Linked DNA regions of Oryctolagus cuniculus. The protein of the gene in region 2 interacts with the protein of the main gene of each other region in a biochemical or structural test. Links are inferred from orthologs where the notes say so. Each region holds a gene or a part of one and is shown on either strand. Other genes may lie near its edges.

The links.
Region 1: the proteins of TCERG1 (region 2) and U2AF2 form a complex in vitro, tested with the Homo sapiens proteins (2 studies listed by BioGRID). The link is inferred for Oryctolagus cuniculus from reciprocal best matches to the Homo sapiens genes TCERG1 and U2AF2.

Annotation. Positions count from the first base shown.
Region 1 is NC_091449.1:3,335,621-3,342,525, reverse strand, and holds the start of U2AF2 (splicing factor U2AF 65 kDa subunit), read left to right. Parts: upstream 1-2,664; 5' UTR 2,665-2,755; coding exon 2,756-2,804; intron 2,805-5,040; coding exon 5,041-5,176; intron 5,177-5,983; coding exon 5,984-6,028; intron 6,029-6,905. Other genes in the region: CCDC106 (coiled-coil domain-containing protein 106), read left to right, coding at 32-208, 692-904, 993-1,309. UniProt on the Homo sapiens protein: Plays a role in pre-mRNA splicing and 3'-end processing. By recruiting PRPF19 and the PRP19C/Prp19 complex/NTC/Nineteen complex to the RNA polymerase II C-terminal domain (CTD), and thereby pre-mRNA, may couple transcription to splicing.
Region 2 is NC_091437.1:33,945,807-33,952,810, forward strand, and holds the start of TCERG1 (transcription elongation regulator 1), read left to right. Parts: upstream 1-2,489; 5' UTR 2,490-2,568; coding exon 2,569-2,627; intron 2,628-3,223; exon of another isoform or gene 3,224-3,356; intron 3,357-5,001; exon of another isoform or gene 5,002-5,153; intron 5,154-7,004. UniProt on the Homo sapiens protein: Transcription factor that binds RNA polymerase II and inhibits the elongation of transcripts from target promoters. Regulates transcription elongation in a TATA box-dependent manner.

The DNA of each region.
Region 1 (6,905 bases), on a different chromosome or scaffold from region 2:
CGCAGGGTGACCGGTGCGCTCCCCGCCGCAGAGCCCGCGGAGGCCGCGTCGCCCACCCTGGCCCTGATGAACAGCGTCAAGGCGCAGCTGCACCTGGCCCTGGAGAGGAACTCGTGGCTGCAGAAGCGCATCGAGGACCTGGAGGAGGAGCGGGACTTCCTGCGCTGCCAGCTGGACAAGTTCATCTCCTCCGCGCGCGTGGACGCAGGTGGGCGCGCGGGCCGCGACCCCGTGCCCCTGCCCCCTCCCGTGCTGGTCCAGGACCAGCAGCAGCCCGGCCGGTTTACTGGCGGACCCACGCGTGCTGACCGCCGCCCAGCCCCAGCGGGGCCCCTGCTGCCCCTCTCTCTGCGAGCCCCCTCCTCCCCAAACCCGGCGCCACGCACGGGCCCGTGGTGCCCGTGCCCACGCTGTCAGGATCTGGCTGTCTCCCCCGCGGATGATTCCCGCGACGGTCGGGCCCCTGGGGAGCCCAGTACAGGGCCTTTCCAGCACCCGTGTCCCCGGGGAGCGCCCCCGGTGCAGCTGGAGGCCTTGGCTGTCCCCGGCCTACCAGGCCCAGAGCCCCTGTCTCCCGGGCTCCCACTGCCCTCCAGGGGCTCTGCGGGTCAGCGCGGCCGCCAGGCGTCCGGCCTGGGCCCGCCGTTCACCTGCGGGCTTTGCTCTCCCCCGCCCCCCATCCCACCCCCAGAGGACCACTGCCGGGCCAAGCCGGGGCCCCGGCGGGCGGAGGGGGACAGCCGCGGCGGCGCGGGGGGCGAGGCCTCGGACCTGGAGTCGGCCGCCTCGTCGCTCAGCGCCGCGTCCGAGGAAGGCAGCGCCGGCGAGAGGAAGAGGCAGAGGCCGCGGGCGGGCGCCGGCCGGAGGCGCTTCGGGAAGCCCAAGGCCCGGGAGCGGCAGCGGGGTGAGCGGGGGCCGAGGCCCCGGGGCGCGCGCCCTGGCCCCGCGCGCCGCGGCCCCGGCCCTGACCGCCGCCCGCTGTCCCCCCGCAGTGAAGGACGCCGACGGCGTGCTGTGCCGCTACAAGAAGATCCTGGGCACCTTCCAGAAGCTCAAGAGCATGTCGCGGGCCTTCGAGCACCACCGCGTGGACCGCAACACCGTGGCGCTGACCACGCCCATCGCCGAGCTGCTCATCGTGGCCCCCGAGAAGCTGGCCGAGGTGGGCGAGTTCGACCCCTCCAAGGAGCGCCTGCTCGAGTACTCGCGCCGCTGCTTCCTGGCCCTGGACGACGAGACGCTCAAGAAGGTGCAGGCGCTCAAGAAGAGCAAGCTGCTGCTGCCCATCACCTACCGCTTCAAGCGGTGACCCGTGCTCGCTCAGATCCAATAAAGAAAGACGAGAGACGTGACGCTCGGGCAGACGGCGCCCGGAATTTAAGTTAAAAAATTAAAAATAAAACAGAGACGTGACGCTTTGGCACAGACTGGGCCCCAGCGTTTTCCTCGGAGGGGAAGCGAGGGGTTGGGGAGCACAGGGTGGGGCGAGCCCCCCGGGGGCGGCGCCGTGCGTTAGCGGCGCGGGGCCCGACGACCCCCGGCATGGGCGGTCCCCGGGCGCGGCGCGGCGTGGCACGGCGGCCGTCTGCCGCCAGGGGGCAGCAGCGCGACGTTGGCCGCGTCCCGGAAGTGGTGCTTCCACCGCCTTCCACGCGTGCGCGCGGCGGCAGGGGTGCGAGAGCGCGGACGCAGTTGCCAAGACAACCGGGAGCGGGCGGTCGTGCTTAACGGTCGGGAACTCGGACTCCTTTTAGGCAGGGAAAGCCTCGCGCACGCGCAGTGGGGGCCCTGGAACCCGACACCGCCACCCCGCCTCAGACCGACCTCCGCGCAGCCGCAATAGCCCGCCTCAGCCCCTGCGCAGGCGCGCAGAGCCGCGCTGGCAACCTCCGCAGCGGCCGCGCGCGCCCTCCAGCCCGAAGGCTGCTGCTGCCTCGCGCAGCCGCCTCAGGCGCTCCGGAGAGTCGGCCCTTCCTTCCTTCCTCTCTCCCATCGGGAGAGCCAGGTGCCGAGAGCCCGGACCCCGCCCCCTTCTCTGGACCCGGGCCCCGGACCCACCTCGCCTCCGTCCTCCCTCCCTTTTCGGTTCCCGCCGCCGGAAGGAGCCGAAGCGCCGCCGGAGAGAGCCGAAGCCGCTTCCGTGAGGGAGGGGCTTCCCGAAGCCGCGGCGGAAGGAGCCGAAGCTCTCCGGTAGGGGAGGAGTGCGCGAGCGGACTCTCCGGAAAGAGCCGAAGCCTCTGGCGAGCGCCGAAACCCTCGGAAAGGTCGTCGGCAGTGGCCGATTGCTTAGGCGGGTCCGGCGGAGCAGCGCGGCGGATCTGCAGAGGGAGAGACTGGGGCGGTTGGAATTGTCGGGAGGAGCCGAACCCGCGGAGAGGGCTCTGCGCCGAGGGACGCGAGGACCCGCGAACACAGCCGGACGGCGAGGCGCTGACTTCCGGAAAGTTACGGAAACCCGAGACGCCGGCCAGGTCCTCGCTTCGGGCGTTTTCGGAAACCGCCGAGGCCGACCGTCCGGAAAGAGCCGACGCGCTTCGGAGCCAGGCTCGGGGGCGGGGCTCGCGGGGGTCGGGCGGGGCGAGGGGCGGAGCCTGGGCGGGGCGGGCTGCCGGGGCTTGATTAGGTAGGAGGCGGTACAGCGCCGGCGGCGGCCGGAAGTAGCCGAAGCTAGCGGCGGAAGTAGCCGAAGCGGCCGGAGCGGGCGGGCGGCGAGGCGAGGCGAGCGCTGCACAGGGCCCGACGCGGCCGCCTCAGCATGTCGGACTTCGACGAGTTCGAGCGGCAGCTCAACGAGAATAAACAAGGTGAGGGCGCCGGGGTGGCGGGGCGGCGCGGGAGGGGTGGCTCCTCGCTTGGCTCCTCGGCCCCCGCCATTTTCCCCCTCGTTTCCCATTCCTCGGCGCCGCGCGATCCACCCCCCCTCCCGCGGCGCGCCTCGCTCACGTGACCGCCCGCGGCGCGGCGAGGGGCAGGGGCGGCGGGCGCGGGCCCGTGGCGCATGCGCACGGCGCCCGCCCGCGCCCACGTGGTCCCCGCGGAGGTGGCGAAGGGGGACGCGGCGCGCTGGCGCCGGAGTCGTCGACCCTAGCTCTGCTCGCTCTCTCCCTTTCTTGGCAAAGACGATTAGTATGTTAGATCCTGTAATCCCCTTCTTTTTCGCCCGCTGCTGCAACTCTTCCGCTTCCGGTTGTGCCGGGGCTGCGTCTCCACGCCCCCTTTGTTTCAAAATGGCGGTCTCGGGGACGGCCCCCTCCCCCTCGCGTGGACCGGGGCCCCTAGCTGGGCCTCCTGCGTGTCCGCGCGGAGGTGGGACGGCGCGGCTGCGGGCCGAGGCAGGCAGTGCCCGGCAGCGCCCCGCCGCCCGGGGCTGCGTGCCCGCTTCTCGCGTTCGGCGAGAGTGAGGGCGCCGGGAGCAGCGGAGGTCCAGGGGCCCAGGCCCGAGCTGGGGCGGGGGTGGACGGAGCCCGCCCCTCCCGCGGCCTGCCTGCCGCCTGAGTACCGAGGGTGCGGTGTTCTTTGCTAATGTTTCTGGCTGTAGAGATTCCTCATGGGGCGAGCGAGCCCCGCTGCAGGGAAGCTGCGCCCCTCGCTGGGGGCCGGCGCTTTGTTCGGTCCGCCCGCGTTTCCTCGCGAGCACGGCCCGGGTCCCCCCGCTGCGGGAGGGGCTCGGAGGGCGGACACGGAGTCGGGCGAGCCGGGCCGGCTGCCCTCCCGCCGTCGGCTAGGCCCTCGGCGCACCTGGCGCGCGGGGCGGGACGGCGCCTGCTCGAGCCAAGTTCCGGTCGCGTTCGCGTGGCGTCCTGCGGTCAGCGGGGAGGAGCTGGCGCGGAGTCCGGCAGGTGTGCGGCGCCTCCTCCGGGGCCCACGTGTGCCCCGTGCCGTGCGTGGGTCTTTGTCCCAGCGCGCCAGTCTCCCTGCGTCTCTTGGCGACCTGTGCCTAGGGGATTTCCTTGTTTGCGTCCGGGCGCCCCGCGGGCGTCCCTTTCCTGCGCGCTGCTGAGCCTCGGCGGCGGGACGCCTCCTGGGCCGGTCCCCGTGGGCAGCAGAGCTGCTGGGGCCGGCGCCCGGCGCCCGCGCGGTGCTCGCGTGCTGGCTGCGGGCCGGCGCCCTCGTCTCTGTCTTCCGCACCCCAGCGGGGTTTCTCTGTCTTTGCCTTCCGCGGAGGGAGTGTCGTCGTGCAGGTTGGAGGCGGACTGTCTGCTCCGCCGGCCCCGTGTCCAGCAGTGGCGGGTGCAGGCTGCTGGCGCGCGTCCCGGCCGCCCGTCCTGTGGCCGAGCCTGGGTGCAGGTTCTGGCTGGGGATGCAGGCGGTGCTCCCGGTTGTGCGTGCTTGAGCGTGCGTGGTTGGGGGCAGAGCACGCGCAGCCACGTTGGACAGTGTGTGACACGGAGGCCACGGGGGCGTGGACCTGTCCTGCGCTGCGTGTGGTGGCCCGGTCGGGCCCGTGCCGGGGCGCGCGGTGTCCTGCGGAGGTCCTGGCGGGACCTGGAGTCCCTGGTCCTCGCCCCGAGGGGATGGAGGCATATTGGTCCCGCGTGGCCTGCCTGCAGGAGAGGGATGACTCGAGCGTCCTGCATCCGGGCACATCACATCACGCCTGGCTCCGTGCTCCTGGGCCGGACGTGGGGGGCTGTGGGTGCCAGCCGGTGCCCGCGTCTTTCCTGAGGGGTCGCTGGGTCCCTTCAGGAAAGCATCATTGGGTCTCTTGATTCCCCAGCGTCTAGCCCTGCCCCTCTCAGGGACGACCCTGGGGTCAGGCCCCTCAGCCCTCGAGGGGGACCAGGAGCCAGCCTCCTCTGTCTTCTCTGGCTCCTCAGCCCTTGAGCATCCGCAGGTATCTTCACCCCCGGGGCACTAGCAGGCCCTGTCCGCGGTCCCCTCTGCTGTGGACCCAGGAGGCCTCTTCTCTCCCTTCCTCCTGCAGTCCCTGCCCTTGGGGGTGGCCTCCCTGGGTCTTGGGCGTAGCCACCAGCGTGCAGGGTGGGCTGGGCCCGCGTCCTCCCTCCACTCAGCCCAGCCCCTGCCTCTCGCCTTGCGCAGAGAGGGACAAGGAGAACCGGCACCGGAAGCGCAGTCATAGCCGCTCGCGAAGCCGGGACCGCAAGCGCCGGAGCCGGAGCCGGGACCGGCGCAACCGAGACCAGCGGAGCGCCTCGCGGGACAGGCGGCGGCGAAGGTGCCCGGGCCAGCCTGGGTGTGGGGGGCGTCTGGGTGGCCCCACAGCCTGCGTGGCCTCGTGTCTGTCGGGTGGGGACCAGCTCTCCGCCGAGTCTGGCGTTTCTTTCACTTCCCCGCTGGCGGTGCTGGGGGCTGCGGGTTCTGTCTGCCCCGACCCCGAGGGCTCTCCTTACAGAGACGACTTGATGAAGGGCGGGCCGGGGGCTCTTGTCCTTGGCTGCCACGCTTGGGGCTGGTCCAGGCCAAGGCTAGGACCCCGAAACTCCATCCTGGCCTCCCCGTGGGTGGCAGGGCCCAGGCACTTGAGCCGTCTCCCCCGCGTGGCCTTCCCAGGCGTGCTAGCGGGTTGCGGGCTTGGAGGTGGCACGGCTGATGGCGTGGCCGATGCCCGGCGCAGGGCTGGCTCCCGCCGCGGGCTGGTTGCCTTGAGCTGTTCTGTGCTGCTCTGGGAGGCTGTCTTCCGGGGCTGCTCTGGCTCCAGTCTCTCTCCCCTCCTCGCAGTGGGGCACTGTCTGCAGCCTCGGCTCCCGGGCTCCCTCCAGGGATTCTGCTTTCCCGCGCCCCCCCCCCCCCCCCCCCGCCCAGTGCCTGCAGGGACACTGGTCTGCCCTGGCCCGCCTCCTCCTCTCCTAATCCTGGTCTGGGAGTTGGCGGGGGGAGATGGCAGGGCCGAGGGGGCTGCTTGCCGCTTGTTCTCCTCGGCCCTGCCCCAGCCTTGGGACTCAGTGAGCTGGGGGGGAGTGGCCTGTGGGGCAGTCGAGGGTCCCCAGTCACCCCTCCCCTACCTTTCCCTCCCACCCCCCAGCAAACCTTTGACCAGAGGCGCTAAAGAGGACCACGGTGGATTGATGTGAGCGTCTCTCCTGCCCCTGTGCCCCCGCGTCTACACCTTTCCCTCCCTCACTGCTGTGTGCCTCTCCCTGCCGTGTCCACACCTTCCCCTCCCTCACTGCTGTCCACACCTTGCCCTCCCCCTGCCCGCATCCACACCTTCCCCTCCCTCACTGCTGTCCACACCTTGCCCTCCCCCTGCCCGCATCCACACCTTCCCCTCGCTCACTGCTGTGTGCCTCTCCACTGCCCTCGTGTACACCTTCCCTTCCCCCTGCCCACGTCCACACCTTCCCCTCCTCCTGCCCGCGTCTACACCTTCCTCCTCACTGCTGTGTGGCTCTCCCCTGCCGTGTCCACACCTTCCTCTCCCTCACTGCTCTGTGCCTCTCCCTGCCCGTGTCCACACCTTCCCCTCTCGCTGCCCACGTCCACACCTTCCCTTCCCTCACTGCTGTGTGGCTCTCCCTGCTGTGTCTACACCTTCCTCTCCCCCTGCCCACGTCCACACCTTCCCCTCCCTCACTGCTGTGTGCCTCTCTGTGCCACGTCTACACCTTCCCCTCCCCCCTCCCATGTCCACACCTTCCCTCCTCCCTGCCCGTGTCCACATCTTCTTCTCTTGCCTGTGTCCACACCTTCCCCTCCCTCACTGCTGTGTGCCTCTCCCCACCCATGTCCACACCTTCCCCTCCTCCCACCCACGTCCACACCTTCCCTCCTCCCACCCGTGTCCACACCTCCCCCCTCCTCCGTGCCCGTGTCCAGCCCTGGCCCCCGCTCTGCCTTCAAACCAGCACCCCTCCCTAGGCCTGGGTCCAGATCCCCTCTCCTGGGGAGAGTGGAGTTCGTGGGGGGTGGCCTCTGCGGAGCCTGGGAGGGGCCCTGCGGCTGTG
Region 2 (7,004 bases):
GGGTGCACATTAGCAGGAAGGTGGATCAGAAGGAGAGGAACCAAGAGCCAAACTCCAGTACGTGACTCCGGTACCCGAAGTGGCATCTCAGCTGTCCCACATGCCTGCTCCAAGATTCAGTGTTTTTTGAATGAATATTGTTTTCTAATTATAAGCAGCTGACTTAGCAGATGTGGCACTTAGGGATTTTATGGAGGGCTGACTATACATTTAATCTACTTGAAAATAAGATTACAAAAGAAATTAAATATCTTAAACTATATTTAGGTATAGATAACATGCTAGAAGTCAGTAGATAATGAACTTTCAGTGGATCTGCAAGGAGTTTCTTCACACTGTTTTCATCCTTTATAAATGCCAGTGACTCACTTTCCACAGGGTGCCCACTTTGAGTCAGTGTTCTCAGCAGTGGGGATTCAGCTGTAATGAGCCCTCCATGCCAGTATTATTTTCAGAGTAAGTTGGCCAGCACTTGGGGATGAATACTGATGTTGAAAAAAGAATCGAACGCCCCACTTTTAGTTTTTTGTTCAAATGTCACATCTTTACTGAAATGTTACCATCCCTTCTCCAATTACTCATGCTCAGAACTCTGTGTTTAGCACTTACCACATTTTATCAGACATAACTGATTGGGAATATTCAGCTGAGAATCAGGAGAACGTGGCACTTTTTATCGAAATACAATTCACATACAACAAAACCCACCATTCGATGTGACCTCTCAATGGGTTTTCATGTAGTCACAGAATTGGGCCACCACTACCACTACCCAGTACCAGAATCTCGTTAGCATCCAAGAGGGACTTCAGGGGCATGTCGTCACCTCCAGTTACTCGCTTTTCTGTCTATAGATTCGCCTATTCTGACCGTTTCCTAGAAACGAGTCATCCCATCTGTAGCTATTTGTGTGTGGCTGCTTTCACGTACTATATTTTCCAGGTTCATCCCTGTTGCAGCATATATCAGTACCTCATTCCTTTTTACAGCTGAACATATCCCATTGTATGGATGTAGCACATTTTCTAAACCACTCACCGGCTGATAGACGTTAGATTATTTCCACTTCTTGGCTATTGTGGATACTGGTGCTGTGAGCATTTTTCTGTGGACCCAATTATTCTGGATCATGTAATTCAAAGCGCGAATTTTGTGCCACACTGCCTTCTGGTTAAGGCCACGCTTGCTACTTACTAGCTGTGGGATTTGGGGCAAGTTACTTTTCTGCCTCATTCTTATATATTAACTGGCTATGCATATGACTCACTTCTTGTTTTGTTGTGTGTTTTTTTTAAACATTCTTAGAACTGTATCTTGAAGCTACATTTAATCTGTTAAAAACTGAAAAATAAAAAGGAAATGTAACTAAAAAAATTAAAAATTCATTAAAAATTTTTTTTATTTGAAGGGGAAAGAGGGAGAGACAGACAGAGACATCTTCCATTCTCTGGTTCACTCCCAAAATGGCCACAGGTCAAAGCCAGGCACTCAGAAATCCATCTGGGTCTCCCACGTGGTGGGGGGAGGGCATTGGACCATCATCCTCTGCTTTCCAGAAAACTGGATGGGAAATAGAACAGCCTGGACTTCAACAGGCACTCTAACATGGGATGCTGGCGCTGCAGGTGGCAGCTTAACCTGCTGTGTCACAACGCTGGTCCCATGGTGGTGGTGGTTTTATTTTTTTAATTGTATGGAAAGTACTGGTATACACTGTTAAGTCTGAGTAAAATTTATTAATGCTTTGAGCTCTTTATTAATAGGTTTGCTTTCATCTTGTCTTTGCAACTCCAGAGCCTCAGCCGTCTTTTCCCCTTTAATCGAAGAATAAAAGAAATATTTAGAGTTCTTTTTGGGTAGCAGGGTGTGCCAATTTCAGATAACTGCATTTTGAGATTGAAGGAGGACGCTAAGGCTGTGTACTGCTAAGAGGCTGGCTTCTCCAATTTACTTTTTCAATAAAGCAACTCAGAACACCCATCAGATGCAACTAATTAGTACAATTTTAGGAGGTCTTCTTGTAATCACCAGATATTATTTCATAAACTGGATACACAGCCGAGTGCTGACTTAAGACTCCAATAAGTCAAATAGCGAAAACTCCTTCCGCCTCAACTCTATGATTGGTTTAGGCGCGATCCAGGTCTTTTTTGATTGGCTCACCCCGTGGAAATGCTTTCGGCCTGAGCTACTAGTGGCCAATATGGCTCCACAATTGGGTCTCCTGGAAGCCGGCAGACACGTGGCTACTTCACGCTGGGCGAAACGTGGGAGGACCTAGTTTCGCTTACCGCGAGAGGGCGCCGGTGGTTCCTCTTTGCTAAAGTCTCATTTCCCATAAAGCCTCCGAGCGACCAATCCTCTGGCTGTCTCCATACCGCTTTCAAAGTCGGCGGGTCCTTTGTCCAATAGTAAAGCAGATACCGCCTCCACCTGGAGGATGGATAGAAAGCTTCACCAATCATCTCATAGACTTCCGCTATCTCCGCCTCTCTCGCACGGGATTGACGATCCTTCCGGCCAATAGGTGGCGTCGGGTCGGCGGGTGGATGAACGCGGCCCTCTGTAATGGCGGAGCGTGGCGGGGACGGGGGGGACGGTGAGCGATTCAACCCGGGGGAGCTGAGGTAAGGGGCGCTGCCCTCTCGCACATCTCGGCGCGCTGGACTCCCAGTGGCTAGGCCTGCTCGTGGAGATCCGGAGCGGACGGTGGGCAGCAAGGACGGGGCGGGTTGGGGCCAGAACCGCATGGGGTTAGAGAAGGGGGAAGGGAAGGTGGCTTGAATGAGAGCCGGGCCGGGGCCGTGCCGCGCGGCCTTCTGCGCGGTCTCGGGGTGCTCCCTGCGGCTTCCGCGGGGCCCAGTTGTCCGTCGCGGCCTGCAGGCCGGGCCGGGCGCTCCCGGCTTGGAGCCCCACCTCAGCCGCGTGCCGCCTGGGCCTCTGCCGCCCTCCGCCTGCCTTCCCGGCTCGGCTCGGCCGCGGCCCGCTTCTCCCCATCGACGTCCCTAGGCGGTGCGGTTAACTCCCAGGGGCCTCTCCCGTCTCTGGCTCAGCCTTCTCCACGCCCTCCGGGCCGTCCACGTTTGCTGTTTGATCTCGTCCCCCACCCCCACCCACTTGCCTTTCTTAACTTCCTGTGGCTTGTCTCCCTCGGTCTCTCTCTATCCCTCCGTATCCCGGAGCTGTGAATAACAAAAGCGGCAGCGGGGGGTGAGGCGCTTACTTGGGGCTGTCTCTCCTCTCCTGCCCGAGCCCACCCGCTGCAGGAATTGGTGCTCCGGCTCTGTAGGCCCCAGCGCCGAGGGCCCTTCGGCCAAGTTGCTCGCGCGGCTTACGGATGAGGAAACCGAGCCTCGTAGGGGTTTGAGTGCGGGGTTAAGACCGCTTGGGTGGAGCAGGTTAAGCCGCGGCAGGCAGGCTATGGACGTGCAATTTCGGGTAATTCTGTTCTTCTCCTCCACCCCCCCCCCCCCCCACCCGTGCTCTAAAAAAGGAGCGCAGTGACCTTCCTTCCTCGGGAATTCAGTGCCTGCGGAGTTTGTCGTTAGAGTTTGATAAGAAAAATGTGACCAGGATAAAAAACAAGCAACAAGCCGGTTTTTGAGGGGATGGGAAAGAGGTCCTGTGCTTGATGTATATCTAGTGTACTTTCTCCCCACCCCCCCACCCCCGCCCCGATGGGAGAAATGTCATTTCAGATGTTCAGCTGACATTCTGAATTGTGCCGTTGTCAGCGTTTAAAATTGAAAAACGCAGTGGAGATGATGACGAGTCTAATACTGTCCAGAGCTTATTGTTAGAGTTTTAGGAGAAGATAATGTCTTTCAGATTCTGCAATGTTAGGCACAGAAATTTCTACTTTGGCAGTACTTATTTCAGAGGTAGTTCTTAAGCCCATCAGCCCCATATGCACAGTGGTTAATGAGTGAACAAAGTGGGTAGTGGGTATCTTCCAGTGTTAATGGTGGAGCTTGTTCTTGATGCTGATCTCAGAAGATTACTGCTTGGCTAGTCTCAGATGGATTGATTAGGTAACATTGTTTTATGTTTCATGGAGTGTTTTCAGCTGTACAGTCATAGCCTTTTAGACTATTTGTAAACTAGATATTGCAAAACTGATTTAGGTAGGGCATTAGATTAGGTGTGCTGTTGCAGGTAGTTTAGCCTCTTGGGTTGGAAGTTGCAGAGCGTGTGGATAGACCTTTGTTTTAGCATTTATCATGATTTATGAGAAATTAGCTGTTCATGTGTTCTGTGCTGGCAGAAGTTTGGACTCAGTCTTTATAAAAATCTATCCTGGATGTATTTCGTGGCTGTGTCTATCACAGTGGCAGACAGAATAATCTATAGATAAATAAATGAAGACAGGAGACTTAGAGGTGGTACCCTTGCTGGCCTGTGTTCATGAGGCAGTTACAGACCTGGATGCTGGCAGTAGATCCTGAACCAAATCATGAGAGGCCTTTGCTCTCCCCTTTGTTTCCATTCTAATTGAGACTGATCCAGATTCTGAACTAAACCAACCACATGAAATGAAAAACCCAATGTGCAAGTTTGAAATGACTTATCCAAAGTCGATGGGTAGTGGCCAGGGTTTAGACTGAAACTTAGGTCTCCTTACTCAATTATTGTAATTTGCCTCCCATGTACATCTTGCCCCTCCAGTTAAAGTGTTTGCAGTCTAGTTTTCACCATTGAGATTGCCTATCTATATAGAGCACTCCTAGAAAAATGTTTGTATTTCCATGGTGTTCTTGTGAATTTTTGTTTGTTTGTTTCTAGTCTCATAGATAGTCTTTTGCTTCCCAAAAAGGTTTTAAAGCAGCAGGAAGTACAATAGATGGAAATTCAGAGATCCAAATGCCATCTGTCCCTTTATGGTTGAGGGCCATTAAAGTAACTTTCAAAGTCATGTTTATCTAACACATACAAGTTCCCATCCAGTGGTTCACAACTTGATTCATGTCTCCACTACTTGAGCCATTATCACTGCCTCCCAAGGTGTACACTAATAGGAAGCTGGAATGGGGAGCAGAACCTGGAACTGAACCTGGACCCAGGCACTCGGATTTGGAATGCGATGTTCCAGCTGCCAGCTTCATTGGTCCAGCAGAGGCCCACCCAGTAGAGTCATATTTACATGGATCCTTAGGGTATGTGTTTTCCTATTAATACTTAGGACGTGAAGTACTTGCAGTCTAGATTTTCTTGCCTGTAGAAATGAGAGTAAGAATACCCTGCTGTTAACTATTGACCAACTGTCTTAAGCAAATTGTTTTTCTGTGCTATGGTTTCCTCTGTAAAATGGAACCAGACATACCTTATTGGGTTATAGTAAAGATTGGGAGTTAGTACACTGACATCCATGTAACTTTGCCTGGAATATAGGAAGGTACCCAGTGTTCACTGTCATTGTTAAAGCAAGAAAGGCAGTGCCACAGTATACTAAAGGGAATCCTGTACTATTAGTAAAGGCAATACAAAAGTAAAAGTGAGAGATTTCTTTATAACATTTCTCATAATTGCTTACTGAAATTGGGTAATGAGCCACAGACTGTGAGAGACTACAAATGGGGAAGCAGCTTGAGGTGGCATTTGAACTGAAGCTGAATTATGAGAGAAGGCATCATATAAACATCTGGGGACGTGCCAAACAAAGGGTATAAGTGCAGAGGCTTCTAAGTAATGAACTTAAAGTTTTCTATGATTGGAAAGACTAGATAGAGTCTTTGGGCAGGTCAACAGGGCCAGGCTATATAGGTCCTAGTAATATATATTTACCAGTGTAATAGTAGGTAGCACTCTTAATAGTAATACCACGTAACACTTGCCAATACTATTACTGTGCTAATGTTGCAGTAACAGTAATAATAGCTTATAGGTTGCACTTAAGTGCTCGGCACTGTTTTTTAAGTACTTGATTGGGTCATATAATCCTCACTGCAGGATATACTGAGGTTATTGTAATGAAGCAGTATATATAAAGAACTCAGTAAGTTGTACAAAAACCAGCTTCAAAAAATGGCAGCTGTTGGCATTTGAAGAAGGAAGTTATGTGCATTTTATCACCAGTTTAGTGAGATGTAAATTAAAATGCCTTTTGTCCCCCACCCCCCCCACAAAGATTTGCTTATTTATCTGAAAGGCAGAGTTAGAGTACAAGAGAGAGAACATGAATGAGCCATCCACTGGTTCAGTCCTCAAATGGTTGTCGCTGTCAGGGGCCAGCTGCTCCATCTGGTTCTCCCATGTGGGTAGCAGGGGCCCAGGATTTTGGGCCATCTTCTCCTACCTTTCCAGGCACATTAGCAGGAAGTTGGGTAGGAGGTGGAGCAGCTGAGACTTGAACTGGCACTCATAAAGGATGCTGGCATTGCAATTGGCAGCTTAACCTGCTACATGACAGAGAACCAGTCCCCAAAGTGCCTCTTTGAAAGACAAAGCACTCTTAGATTTTGCTGAGGTCTGAAAATAATGTTCAAGTTTACTGAGTGCTGGGTACTATCCTAAAAGTTTCACTGTTATTTATCTCTGAACCAAAATATGAGGTAGCTTTTCTTTTTCCCGAGTGGACTCAGACTCAGAAATTACATAACTAGTATGATAGAGCCCTAATGCAACTTTTTCTTGATTCTAGAAAATAAGTGCCTCACTTTTAAGCTATGACCAGGAATTATGAAATTCAAAGGAAAAGAATATAGTAGATTTGGCAAAAATAGGTAGACTAGAAGGAAATCTAAAATTAAGCGATGTTATTTGCTCAAGGCTGAAACAATATCTTTTTGGTTAACTTTTTTCTGTCCAAAGGTAAGACATTTCCTTCAGTAACAGTGGCTTTGGGGGGGGGGTGTATATAATTTTGAAAAAGATCTGATTATTTTGATATAGTCCATATTCCTTTTTACGAGAACTGTCTTTAACTCATATTTTCTGGCCTTTGGAGCATAGGATCATTTGCAAATTTGGCTAAACATACTTGGTGTACCATGTGGACATGTTTACCA